3 linked regions of the Sus scrofa genome follow. The protein of the gene in region 3 interacts with the protein of the main gene of each other region in a biochemical or structural test. Links are inferred from orthologs where the notes say so. Each region holds a gene or a part of one and is shown on either strand. Other genes may lie near its edges. The genes, in order: ELN, EFEMP2 and LOX.

Region 1 (3,640 bases), on a different chromosome or scaffold from region 3:
GCTCTCTGAGAGAGCCCGTTGGGTTGGCCAGGCCCCTCAGCGCTCTCTCCTCCTTCCCGGGGGCTGGACTCCGTGGGGCATTTGGGCCAGGTGAGTCCACTGGAAGGAGGGCGAGCAGGGGCGGGGCAGAGGGGGGCGTGGGAAAGGGGCAGATGACTGCAGAGGGGCTGCCTGCCCCGCCCGCCCACCCAGGCCCTTCTCACCTCCTGTTTGGTCCCCATCTTCTCCTTCCAGCCCTTCTGGTCAGGAAAGGCCCGAACAGGTCCCCTGCCCCTGTTGGAAGTCAGGAAACAGGCTGGCTTGAGAGAAACCCCTGACAGGGCCTGTAATGCTGGGAGGTGAACCCGGGAACGTGCCAGGCCCAGCCTGATGGCACCACACCTGCCCAGAGTTAGAGACCTGTCTTGCTGGGGGGCTGGCCGAGTTTCAGACTGGCCAGTTCCCGGAGGTAGGAAACGGGAGTGGGGGAACCACACCCAGTGAAAGCCAGGCCGACCCTCCAGGGCTCAGCACTCCCGCAGGTTGCAGTCAGTCCCCAGAGAGGCCACCCCTGCGCGCGCGGGACCCCAGTGGCCAGGACTGGCTCTTGTGGGAGAGACGCTCACATTTTCAGAGACCAACCCGGCATGGTTGTGAACTCCAACCTGACTGCCCGTGGGTCCTGGCCAAAGCCGTGGAATGTCTCCTGGAGGGGGAAGAGGAGAGCTCGGGCCCAGATGTGGGAAGGAGAGAGCCAGGGGGACCCATTTGGCTTTTTATAAACATTTTAGCATCTGTCTGTAAGCAAAGAGGCTCCTAGACTGCAGGGCGGGCTAGCTGGATGGACAGGCAGATGGTGGAAGACAAAAGGGGCTCCAGACACAGGGAAGCGGACATGGCCTGAGCCAGGAGACCCTGCAAGGAAGCCAAAGAGAGTCTTAGGGTGGGGACTGTCGTGGAAGCAGGGCAGGGCTGGCCTGGGTGAAGTCTGGCTGGCAGATTCTGCTCAGCTCCAGCCTTCACCGAAAGCCCTGCTGGGTTCCCGTTAGCTGGCGGGTCTTCTGAGGGAACTGAGTCTGATTGGGGCATGTTGGGGGCAGACAGGTCAATGCAGTCATGTCCACATGGCACATAGCAGTTGGTGGCTAAACAGCGGCTGCTATTTTGTCGGGATTGACCCCCCCCCCACCGCCCCACCCCCGCCCAGGACCAAAGGCTTGAGTCCAGCTTAGAGGCCTGGGCTGCCCCACACCAACCACAGCCTTGCCAGGTTCCCGCCCCCATTCCAGGAGACCCTTCCCCGCCCCAGGCCCAGGGACGATGCCCCACACCTGCCTCCCCTCACCTGGCTGTGTCTTCTTCTCCCTGCAGGTGTCGGAGGGCTCGCAGGCGCTGGCCTTGGGGCAGGTTAGTGTTGACACCCAGGCAAGATGCCCCTCTGGGGGCTGGGGCATCTGCCCAGAATGGAGGGCAGTTGGGGTGCTGGGGTGAGACCAGGCCTGTCCCGGGCACTGGTGCTGGGGGTAATGCTGAGACCGCCCGCCTCAGCAGCTGCCCAGAGCACAGGGGAGTCACGGATATGATGACATAGGTAATTTGTGAGAGCAGGAGGGAAGCGGCCCCAGCACCCATAGGAGTCGCCCACCCCATTGCGCTTCAGGAAGGCTTTCTGGAGGAGGCGGGTATAGAATCTGGACTCCAGAAGATCCCACAGTTTGTCAGGCTAAGTGGAGCAGTCTGGGACAGAGAACCCAGTGCTGTGAGCAGTGGTCACAGCTGGGCAGGGCAGTCCTACAGAGAGCAGGAGAGCCTCAGATGGACCTCTTGGGGGCAGTGGGGCCAGGGGTGGGGTGAGGGTGGGGGGCAGGACCTCAGCCCACCCTCCTCCCTGCAGGGCTCGGGGCCTTTCCTGCAGGCGCCTTCCCAGGGGCTCTGGTGCCCGGCGGCGTGGCTGACGCGGCCGCAGCCTATAAAGCTGCTGCCAAGGCTGGTGAGTGTTACCCTTTGGGACAAGCCAAGAGCTCTGTGGCTTCTGGGGGCTCTCCACTTTGCCAAGGGCTTTTCCTGGGGGGCAGCCTCAGCTCCAATCTGCTGGGGTTTGGGGAGGCATCAAGCTGGGCCTTAGTCTCAAAATGAGGTGGTGGCAGGGCCAGGCCTCAGCGCAGGCCCCGCTGCCTTTCGCTGTTTCTGGTGTGACCTCCTCCTCTTCCACGCCTGGCTCTGTAGGTGCCGGGCTTGGCGGCGTCGGTGGTGTCGGCGGCTTAGGAGTGTCTACAGGTACGGAGGCTAGACCCACGTGGCCCCGGAGAAGGCTGCGGGTGTGGGCGGAGCCCGCTCTGATGCAGCCCCTTCCCTACCAGGTGCAGTGGTACCTCAACTCGGAGCAGGAGTTGGAGCTGGCGCGAAGCCAGGGAAAGTACCAGGTCAGTGTGGGGTCCCTGGGACTGATGGGCAGAGGTCAGGGAGGGGCCAGAGCCTCCAAGACCCCCTGAGCAGGAAGGACAGGGCCTGGGGCAGGGAAGGTAGCCAGGCCCCAAGTGAGGGGCCGTGTCCGAAATAGGGCCGAGGGGGCCCCGGCCTGTCTTCCAGGCCCTTCTCCCACGACCTTGGAGCAGACCTCAGGGACAGACTCTGGGGTGGGCATTCAGGTGACAGGTGGCGATGCTGAGGCTCAGAATGGGGAGGCAGGACAGAAGGGCCCACGCGGCCCGTCATGGCGCAGCTGGGGGAGCCTGAGGTGTGCACACTCCCCATCTGGGGCTGGTTCCTCTGCGCCAGGCCCTTGAAGAAGTGACTTCAGGTTAAACAAAAGGCTGCCTAAGTCCACACAGCAGGGCGGGAACATCTGGAAGCTGTTAGTCCAGGGGTGGGCTGTGCCGACCATGTAAACAGGCTCTAGGAGACGAGACAAATCCACGCACAGAGGGGTTGGCAGAAGACTTCCGGAACTCGTGGGAGGAGGGCTGCAGCCACTGCACACTGTCTCTGGCTGTTCCCACCGGGGAACCAGGGTGGCTGGTTTGGGAGCCCTGGAGCTGCCATGGAGGGATGGGCCACGAGGGGCTCCCGGAGGCCAGGCTACTGTTCACATGCCTTCTTTTGGCCACAGGTGTGGGGCTCCCAGGTGTCTACCCTGGTGGAGTGCTCCCGGGCACAGGTGAGAACAAGGAGGGGAAGGGGGCTCTAGGGCAAGGAGGGCAGCCCCTGGCAGCTTCCGGCATGGCCCCTCACAGCCCCCCAAGCTGAGGCCCCCGGAGACCCTGGGTCCTGACTGGCACTGTTTCTCTAAGTGTCCAAGCTCAGGCTACAGACTTAAAACTCCTATTCATCTTTCCCCTGTGAGGGTCAGTGAGCTCCCCCGGCCCCCCAAGCCCTGAGCCCAGGCTCAGACCCAGACCATCGTCACAGCCTGGGGTGGGCCCCCCAAGGACAAATAAGTCCCCACTGGGGCCAGCTGTTTCCCAAAAGCCGTGAGTCACCAGGGGGCCCGCCCAGTGCATCCGCCCTGCAGGAGACCCTCAGAGCTGCCCTCTCACCCTCGTTCCCTGCCAGGGCCCGGCCACCCCACCCAGCATGTGACCTCCTGAATTCCCCCAAAAGCCCGGTCCAGGCTGCTCTGCGGGATTTGTTGGCAGAGCGTCCCCCCTCGGCCCCTCCCCAC
Region 2 (4,210 bases), about 120 Mb from region 3:
GCTCACGTGGGTGTGTGGGTGACTGACACCCCCAAAACAGGAACGCACAGCCCACCCAACAGCACAAATAAGAATCTGCTGGTCTGGAGTCCCTGGGATATCGGCACCCCTACCCTGGGAGACCCCATGTCAGGGAAGCAGAGGAAATAAGGCCCTGTCCATGCTCCCAGGAACACTGATTGATTCCAGAACCTTCTTCTGAGGCCTATAGCACCCAGGAGTGGGGTGCAAACCAGGAAAGGGGAAGAGGCTGACAGCGAGCGCTCCCGCGGTGCACCTGCAGTGATCAAAAGGAGGATCCCGGAAGCTGGCTGGGCATGGGACGGGAGCTGGGCAGGCCCCCCACAGTGAGGATCTGGACAAGGGGCTGGATATTATTATGCCAGCGGCCCCGAGGAAGCTTTTTATTTTTTTATTTATTTATTTTATTTATTTATTTATTTATTTTGTCTTTTTTGTTGTTGTTGCTATTTCTTGGGCCACTTCCGCGGCATATGGAGGTTCCCAGGCTAGGGGTTGAATTGGGGCTGTAGCCACCGGCCTACGACGCCAGAGCCACAGCAACGCGGGATCCGAGCTGCGTCTGCAACCTACACCACAGCTCACGGCAACGCCGGATCTTTAACCCACTGAGCAAGGGCAGGGACCGAACCCGCAACCTCATGGTTCCTAGTCGGATTCGTTAACCACTGCGCCACGACGGGAACTCCCCCGAGGAAGCTTTTGAGCCAGGGAGGAACATGAGCTGTGAGTTTTTAAAATGCAGTGATAGACACTTGATAGAAGGATTGGAAGCCTCAGCACCAGGGCAACCGACCCTCACTCACCCACGCAGTTCTCTTGCTCATCCGGTTCATAGCCTGGTAGGCAGGGGGTGGCGTGTTCAGCAGGGGACACTGGTGGTGGTGGTCCCTCGCCATGCAGGTCATTGATGACAGCCGCCGAGCGGGGCAGGCACAAGTAGCCCCCGTAGTGGTTGATACATTTCATTTCCCCCTTGCAGGCCTCGGGGATGGTCAGGCATTCATTGACATCTGCGGAGAGGGGCCTGCTGGGCACAGCCAGTCTCCTGGGCTGGCCACGGAGGGGGTGGGCGGCAGGAGCCCAGTGCAGCCTCCTCTAAGCTGCGTGACCCAGGAAGGGCCTTCCCACTCTCCTCAGCTAAGGCTGCCTGCCCAGGACCACTTCCCAGTGCCACCAGGGCTGGTGGCAGGCTGGCTCTTGCTCCACTCACTTCCATTCTCTTATCCCCAAGAGGGTCTCTATGCCGCCCCAGAGCCCTGGTCCCAACTCAGCCCAAGAGTGAGGTGCAGGCCTTCTCGCCCACCCCCGCAGACGCTGCCCTCCCAGGTCACGATGGCACGAAGCTGGGTGGGAAAGTGATTAGAGGAGGTGGCCAGGAACCATGCCTCTGGGCAGCGCCCTGTTGGTCTCTGGACTCCTGGGGGGTGGGAGGAGGCTGTCCCATGTTTTTCTGAGAGGGAGGGGCCTGGATGGCTTCTCCACCCCCAGCTAAGCTGGCCCCCTGAGAACCAGAGCTGGCCACGGCCAGGCAGAGCTGGGCAGGGGACAGGCCACTGACTCCCACAGCAGCTCTCCGTGCTGGAGTTGCAATCCACTTCCTGGTGCTCCAAGCATACTCACCCCGGCAGTGCTGGCTGTCGGGGTCCCACTCATAGCCATCTGTGCATTCCTACAGGGGGACCAGAGGTGGCCAGTGGTCACCCCCTCTCCTCTAACTGACCAGGCCAAGACCAGAGCCCAAGCTTGGCCACCCTCCCCGCCTGCTCCAAACAACAGCTCCAGCTGCTCCACGGACCAGGGGAGGGGAGAACCTGCCCCAGCAGCAGCCACCCCAGGATCCTGGTCTTGGTGTCCCTGCCCAGCCCAGCCCAGGCCAGGGGCTCCACTGTCCCCACCGTGTAGCTGTCGGGCTCCTCCGAATCCTGGGGAGACGCTGCCCCCAAGAGCAACAGCAGCAGCGTCCAGAGCAGTAGAGACCCGGGGAGGCAGGAGGCGAAGGGGAGCATCCTGGGGCTGGGAGGTAGTGAGTGGGGGTCAGGGCGTCTGGGCCACGGATCCCCCATTGCCCGAACCAGGACTCAGAGACCTGGTCCCCGACACCACCCGCCCGGGACTGTGTCTGGGGCTTCGGAGCCTCCCAGGGCCGGGGGTCGACTGATCACGCAGGCCGGGGTTCAGGGCCCACCCGCCCCGGGTCGCCCCGCCCCCGCCCGGTCCCCCAGTGGCTCGGGCCGAGGAGCGCAGGCCTCTGGCTCGGTGCTGACGCCGCCGACTCGGCCGAGACTCTGGCTGGCGCCCTCCCCCCATGGACGGCCACTCACTTGGGCCCGTGACGGCCCGGAGGCCCGCGGCTCCGGCGGCTCGGCTGGCTCCGGTAGTGCCTGCGGGAGACGGACAGGCGGACAGCGCAGCTCCCTGGACGCGCGGCCCCAGGAAGCGCCCCCCGCCCGCCTGCCGCGGCGCGGCCCACCCCGGCGCCTCCGCCCGCCCCTCGGCGGATTCCTGAGCCCGCGCCAGGGGGAGGGACCCCGACCCCCGCTTCTCCGCCCCCGGCCGGCCACAGGCCCCACCCGGTCCCCCGCGGCGCCGCCCGGAGCCGCCTCCCGGCGCCAGGCCAGGGTCCCTTAGCACAGGATCCTGGGGCATTGACCCTGATGTCAAGCCCCCAACTCACTCTGGAGCCCCCAGGCTCTCAGTTTGTGCACCCAAAAATGTCATCCTGCGCACCTAGACCTTACCTAATCTGCACCCCTGGAATTCCTGTGCACCCACATCTTAATGCCAGGGACCCAGACTCTGCGCCTCCCAGAATGTCATCCTGGGCCCTTAGACTCCACCTAACCCTGGAACTTGCAGATCCTCCTCACTCTGCGCCACCAGAGTGTTATTCTGTGCACCCGGACAGTTATTCTGGAAATACCACAACCGCAACTTCATCCAGGGTCCCCAGACCCTCGCCCTGAGAAGAGAGACGCTCCCAGGTCCAGAACCGTCCAGTTCTGTCCCTTCTCCCTTCCATCCCCGGGACTGTCTTCAGCCAGGCGGTCCCTTCACTCCAGGACGGCCTCCCCCGGGCCCTCAGTCCCTGAGGCTACATCAGTTTGGGGCGGGGGCGGCAGTTCACTTTTGGCTCAGAATGAATGGAAGCCCCTGAGAAGTCGAGCAGGGCTGAACTCGGGCGTGCAGGGCTCCAGGGTCCGGGGCCATCACCTTCCTGGCCATCTTCCTACCAATGTCTCCCCCGCACACACCCCACCTCCCTGCCCCGGGCTGTCTGCCTCTTTTCCCAGGGAGACGGAGCGCCTTAAGGGGAGGAGATTGGGCGGAGCTGGCTCCCAGGAAGGGGCGTGGTCTCGCCCTGCCCACGTCTCAGGGCGGGGCCAGACGGGAAAGGGCTGCGTGTCCAGGGAACCCCTGCCTGGAGGCAGATGGCCAGCAGGAACTGTTAAGCCCTTTCCCACCCCAAGTGGTCCTCATAATCGCCCCCTATAGCAGCCCCGCCCGAGGGGGGTGTGTGAAGGAGAGGACATTCCAGGGGGTCCTGAGGTGACCCTTTCGGGTTCAGGGTGAAATGGAGAGCTCCTACCTCCCCTTCCCCCACATCCTCTAAGCAGCCCCCTCTCCCCGCATCCCTGGGGTGAGGGCGGGGGAGGAGGCTAAAAATAATAACTCCTTAAAACCAAAAAGACAGACAATAACAAGTGTCGGGGATGTTAAGGAGAAATTGAAACCTTGAAACGGTCATACACTGTGGGTGGGAATGTAAAGTGGGAGGACTCCTGGGGAAAACAGTCTGGCAGGTTCTCAAAATGTGAACACATGCCCCAGTGATGTCCCGCCTAGGTATACGCCCGGGGCATTGAAAACGTATGTCCACACCAAAAGCCTGTGCACGATGGTCATAGCAACACTAGTCATAAGAACCAAAATACAGGAGTTCCCCTCATGGCTCAGCAGTTAACAAACCCAACTAGCATCCATGAGGTCCTGGGTTTGATCCCTGGCCTTGCTCAGTGGGTTAAGGATCTGGCATTACGTGAGCTGTGGTGTAGGTCAAAGACGTGGCTCAGATCTGGTGTTGCTGTGGTTCTGGCATAGACCAGCAGCTACAGCTCTGATTGGACCCCTAGCCTGGGAACCTCCATGTGCCATGGATGCAGCCGGAAAAAGACAAAAAGACAAAAAA
Region 3 (4,085 bases):
AGGTGATTTAAGATTTAAAAAAAAATCCAAAGTCAAACTTCCTTATTAGACATATAAAGAGAAAAAAAGTCAGATGAAATGCTTATTTGAAACTGCCTTTCTGAGTGTTCTACAGACAGGCTTACTCTAGCTCTCTTTACTCAAACTTCCTGATAGACACTGGAAATGAAAGATGGGTTCTTCACTTCCACTCAAAGTACAAATCAGGCCGGCATTTTTAAAAAGACACAGGTTTATTCTCTGCTTCAGTGTTAGTTGGCTTTGTTCCTTGTAAAATTTCACTTTTGGTTATTAAAATATTCACTGTAGGAAATAAATTTGTAACCCATTTCTCATATTACCTACACACAGAAAAACAAAATTTGATATCTTGAGGCTTATTTGCTGAGGGCGCTTCCCATAAAAGCGAGGAGTGTGCATTGGGAAATCTGTCTGGTTAACTCCTTATGGATAAACGTTAGTCACAATCGTCCCTCCGCCCACCGCTTCCCCCTCCCCGACTCTCGCCCCCAGCACCCTCCCCACCTCCTGACTTCCCGCCTCTCCCGGGCTGGTGACTTAATAGCATTTTTCTTCGTGCATATTTTGGCTTCGCCCCATGGCCTGGCTGCCTTCGCCTGTCTGAGTCTTTTGAAATTCCTGCATGTTCGCCCCAGATTAAGCCTAGTGTGTCTCAGGATGTGTGTTCCGTTTTGTTCTTTCCCCTTAACGTTCCCTGTGCAACGTGTCTGGGGGGAGGAGGACACGACGGGGAGGGGAGGGAGGGGCAGAGGCGAGGAGCTGTCCGCCTTGCACGTTTCCAATCGCATTACGTGAACAAATAGCGGAGGGGCGGCTGGGCCAGAACGGCTTGTGTAACTTTGCAAATGTGCCAGAAAGTTTAAAATCTCTCCTCCTTCCTTCACTCCAGACACTGCCGTTCGCTGGGGCCGCCGCGCCGCTCCCCGTCGCCTTCCAGAACTGGGAAAGAGGAAAGAGGCGAGTGCCACGTCCCAGCAGCCGCCTTTACTGGGAAGGGTCTGCAGCCCACCCTTGGCATTGCTTGGTAGGGACTGAGATACCCGCGCAACCCGCCCGCCTCCGTGGTTGAAGAGTTCTCCCTCCCTCACGTGATTTGAGCCTCGTTTTCCTTTTCTCCGAGCTACGTCCTCCGGGAGCGGGGACAATCCGGCAAAGGGAGCGATGCGCTTCGCCTGGACCTCACTTCTGCTCGGGTTGCTGCAGCTCTGCGCACCGGTGCGCTGCGCCCCGCCGGCCACTGGCCAGCAACAGCCCCCTCGCGAGCCGCCGGCAGCTCCCGGCGCCTGGCGCCAGAAGATCCAATGGGAGAACAACGGGCAGGTGTTCAGCCTGCTGAGCCTGGGCTCACAGTACCAGCCACAGCGGCGACGGGACCCTGGCGCCACCGCCCCAGGCGCAGCCAACGCCACCACCCCGCAGCTGCGCACGCCAATCCTGCTGCTCCGCAACAACCGCACTGCTGCGGCGCGGGCGCGAACCGCCCTCTCGTCCGGAGCCGTCGCCGGCCGCCCCAGGCCCGCAGCCCGCCATTGGTTCCAAGCTGGCTATTCGACGTCTGGGGCTCGCGACGCTGGGGCCTCGAGTGCCGGTAACCAGACGGCACCTGGAGAGCTCCCAGCGCTCAGTAATCTGCAGCCACCCAGCCGCGTGGACGTGGACGGCATGGTGGGCGATGACCCGTACAATCCTTACAAGTACTCCGACGACAACCCTTATTACAACTACTATGACACGTACGAAAGGCCCCGGCCTGGGAGCAGGTATCGGCCCGGATATGGAACAGGCTACTTCCAGTACGGTAAGCACCCCCAAGTCGCCAGAAAACCCACGCACCCCTTCCCCAACTCCGTGGCTCCCCGACGTGGCTGCCTGGGCGCGGCAGGCCTCAGTCCGTGCAGATCCCATCCCTCCCCCAGCGCCTGCAGAGGCAGCCCTGGAATCTGGTGCAAACCGCGCGCCTGGCCCCTCCTGCTTCCTTTCCACTTTACTTTGCAGCCCAGGCCATCCCCATTCTTCTGTTACCCGAAACCCGACACCGCAGTCCCCATGGGTGAAGGGTGATGAGTAAGGGTCGTGGAGTAGGGGGCAAGGGTGGGCGCCTCTAAGTTGTCTCACCTCTTTGCGCTTTGCCTGCTAACTTTTAGGTCTTCCTGATCTGGTGCCTGACCCTTACTACATCCAGGCATCCACGTATGTGCAGAAGATGTCCATGTACAACCTGAGATGCGCTGCGGAGGAAAACTGCTTGGCCAGGTACCATCTGGGATCTCCCAGCCCAGCTCCCCGTCTTGGTTCTGGGGGCGCTGCTCAGGTGCCTGGTTCTGACCACTCTTCGGTGCAGACAAGATTTGGGACATGGGATGCGCGCTGGGAAGTAGAACATTATCTCCTAAGCATGCTGACCTGGATGGAGAGTTAAAATTTTGAAGACTTTTGTGGGTTCTGTCTTTCAAACAGTGGCACGAGTCAGGGAGATGAAGCAAACCCCTAAAAAAAAAAAGTGTGTGAGGGGGGTTTCCTATTTTCCCAAAGATCCTTAAACTCTGGAGCTATTTCTAATAATGTTCTATTAAACTAGTGCACAATAACATGGAAAAATATTGTGCTGAAAGAGCTTGTTAATGCCCCCTTGAAAGATTGGGGCCACTGATCCAGCGTGGCACCCCTCTTTGGGTGCTACAGTTTCCTTTTTTTTTGATTGAAGCCACAATTAACTTAGTTGTTTTGGTATTACTTCAGCCAGAATAAGAACATGAGCAAGAGCTTTGTTTTTGCATTAGTCCTAAAATAAAATCTTAGCAATTTGGGGAATGGAATTCTCTGAGTTTGCTGCTTGGAAACCAGCAGAGGGAGCAAATGATGTTTGGATAGGATGCAAAGAATTTTTTAAAAATATAAAATAAGGTCACCAGTAGTATCTGAATATATAAATTCACACAAAATACATTAGCAAAAAACAGTAATGTTTGTTTATTTTGTGAATTTCTTCTACTTTGACTCCTGTCAGTCTAAAAGAAGAGAAGAAATCCAAGCTCATCATTTTCATTCTTGGAAATCTTGCATTAATCATACCACTGCACTCCCTATGATATTATTACTACAATAATGTCACTGTCTTAAAGATAGTTATTAAAGTGTTTATTAAGACTTTTTTTTTCCTTTTTTTTTAGGGCCACAACTGTGGCATACGGACATTCTCTGGCTAGGGGTCTAATGGGAGCTGTAGCCACTGGCCTACGCCACAGCAACAGCAACTCGGGATCTAAGCCATGTCTGTGACCTACACCACAGCTCACAGTAACGCTAGATCCTCACTGAAAGAGGCCAGGGATCGAACCTGCGTCTTCATGGATACTAGTTGGGCTCGTTACCAGTGAGCCATGATGGGAACTCCTAAAGTATTTATCTAATGTGGATGCACTCTTTTAGAGCTATTTCTCCAGTTGACATCTTATTTAATCAACTGTTTAAAAAAATGTAGGCAAAATGCCCTGGCCTCTGGGAGCTGATGGCCTAGTTAAGCGAAGACAGTAGTCACCATTATAAAATGGGAAGGTTTTATATGTAGCTTTGTTTTTAGTTAATATTTTGTGAAAATAATAATGTCTCTTTTTTTCAAAATCACAGCACAGCATACAGGGCAGATGTCAGAGATTATGATCATAGGGTGCTGCTAAGATTTCCCCAAAGAGTGAAAAATCAAGGGACATCAGATTTCTTACCAAGCCGACCAAGATATTCCTGGGAATGGCACAGCTGTCACCAGTAAGTGGATGGGCCTCCTGGTGTATTTAAAGAGTTGCTTTTTCATTTGGATATGAAAAATTTTTATACAAAGGTAGAAGATTAAAATTTGTCTTTAAGATAATATATCACCTACTATGTCACATTTTTTTTTTTTAATTGGGAACTTTAAGCCCAGCTTATTAAAACTGTTGACAGAATACAGCAACTGGCTTCACTAGAATTTTACACCAATATAATACAGGTAAGATTTCCAAAAAAACCTGTTACAATCAAAATCATCTATAGTTAGTCAGCATGTAATAGTACTTAATAAAGAC

Evidence for each region.
Region 1: the proteins of LOX (region 3) and ELN form a complex in vitro, tested with the Homo sapiens proteins (2 studies listed by BioGRID and IntAct). The link is inferred for Sus scrofa from reciprocal best matches to the Homo sapiens genes LOX and ELN.
Region 2: the proteins of LOX (region 3) and EFEMP2 form a complex in vitro, tested with the Homo sapiens proteins (2 studies listed by IntAct, with this or other methods). The link is inferred for Sus scrofa from reciprocal best matches to the Homo sapiens genes LOX and EFEMP2.

What each region holds. Positions count from the first base shown.
Region 1 is NC_010445.4:11,224,327-11,227,966, forward strand, and holds part of ELN (elastin-like precursor), read left to right. Parts: intron 1-1,350; coding exon 1,351-1,386; intron 1,387-1,873; coding exon 1,874-1,969; intron 1,970-2,205; coding exon 2,206-2,256; intron 2,257-2,339; coding exon 2,340-2,402; intron 2,403-3,088; coding exon 3,089-3,136; intron 3,137-3,640. UniProt on the Homo sapiens protein: Major structural protein of tissues such as aorta and nuchal ligament, which must expand rapidly and recover completely.
Region 2 is NC_010444.4:6,453,806-6,458,015, reverse strand, and holds the start of EFEMP2 (EGF-containing fibulin-like extracellular matrix protein 2), read right to left. Parts: upstream 2,862-4,210; 5' UTR 2,763-2,861; intron 2,406-2,762; 5' UTR 2,346-2,405; intron 2,038-2,345; 5' UTR 2,031-2,037; coding exon 1,920-2,030; intron 1,694-1,919; coding exon 1,645-1,693; intron 1,035-1,644; coding exon 828-1,034; intron 1-827. UniProt on the Homo sapiens protein: Plays a crucial role in elastic fiber formation in tissue, and in the formation of ultrastructural connections between elastic laminae and smooth muscle cells in the aorta, therefore participates in terminal differentiation and maturation of smooth muscle cell (SMC) and in the mechanical properties and wall integrity maintenance of the aorta.
Region 3 is NC_010444.4:125,604,108-125,608,192, reverse strand, and holds the start of LOX (protein-lysine 6-oxidase precursor), read left to right. Parts: upstream 1-1,166; 5' UTR 1,167-1,182; coding exon 1,183-1,819; intron 1,820-2,165; coding exon 2,166-2,274; intron 2,275-3,648; coding exon 3,649-3,786; intron 3,787-4,085. UniProt on the Homo sapiens protein: Responsible for the post-translational oxidative deamination of peptidyl lysine residues in precursors to fibrous collagen and elastin. Regulator of Ras expression. May play a role in tumor suppression. Plays a role in the aortic wall architecture.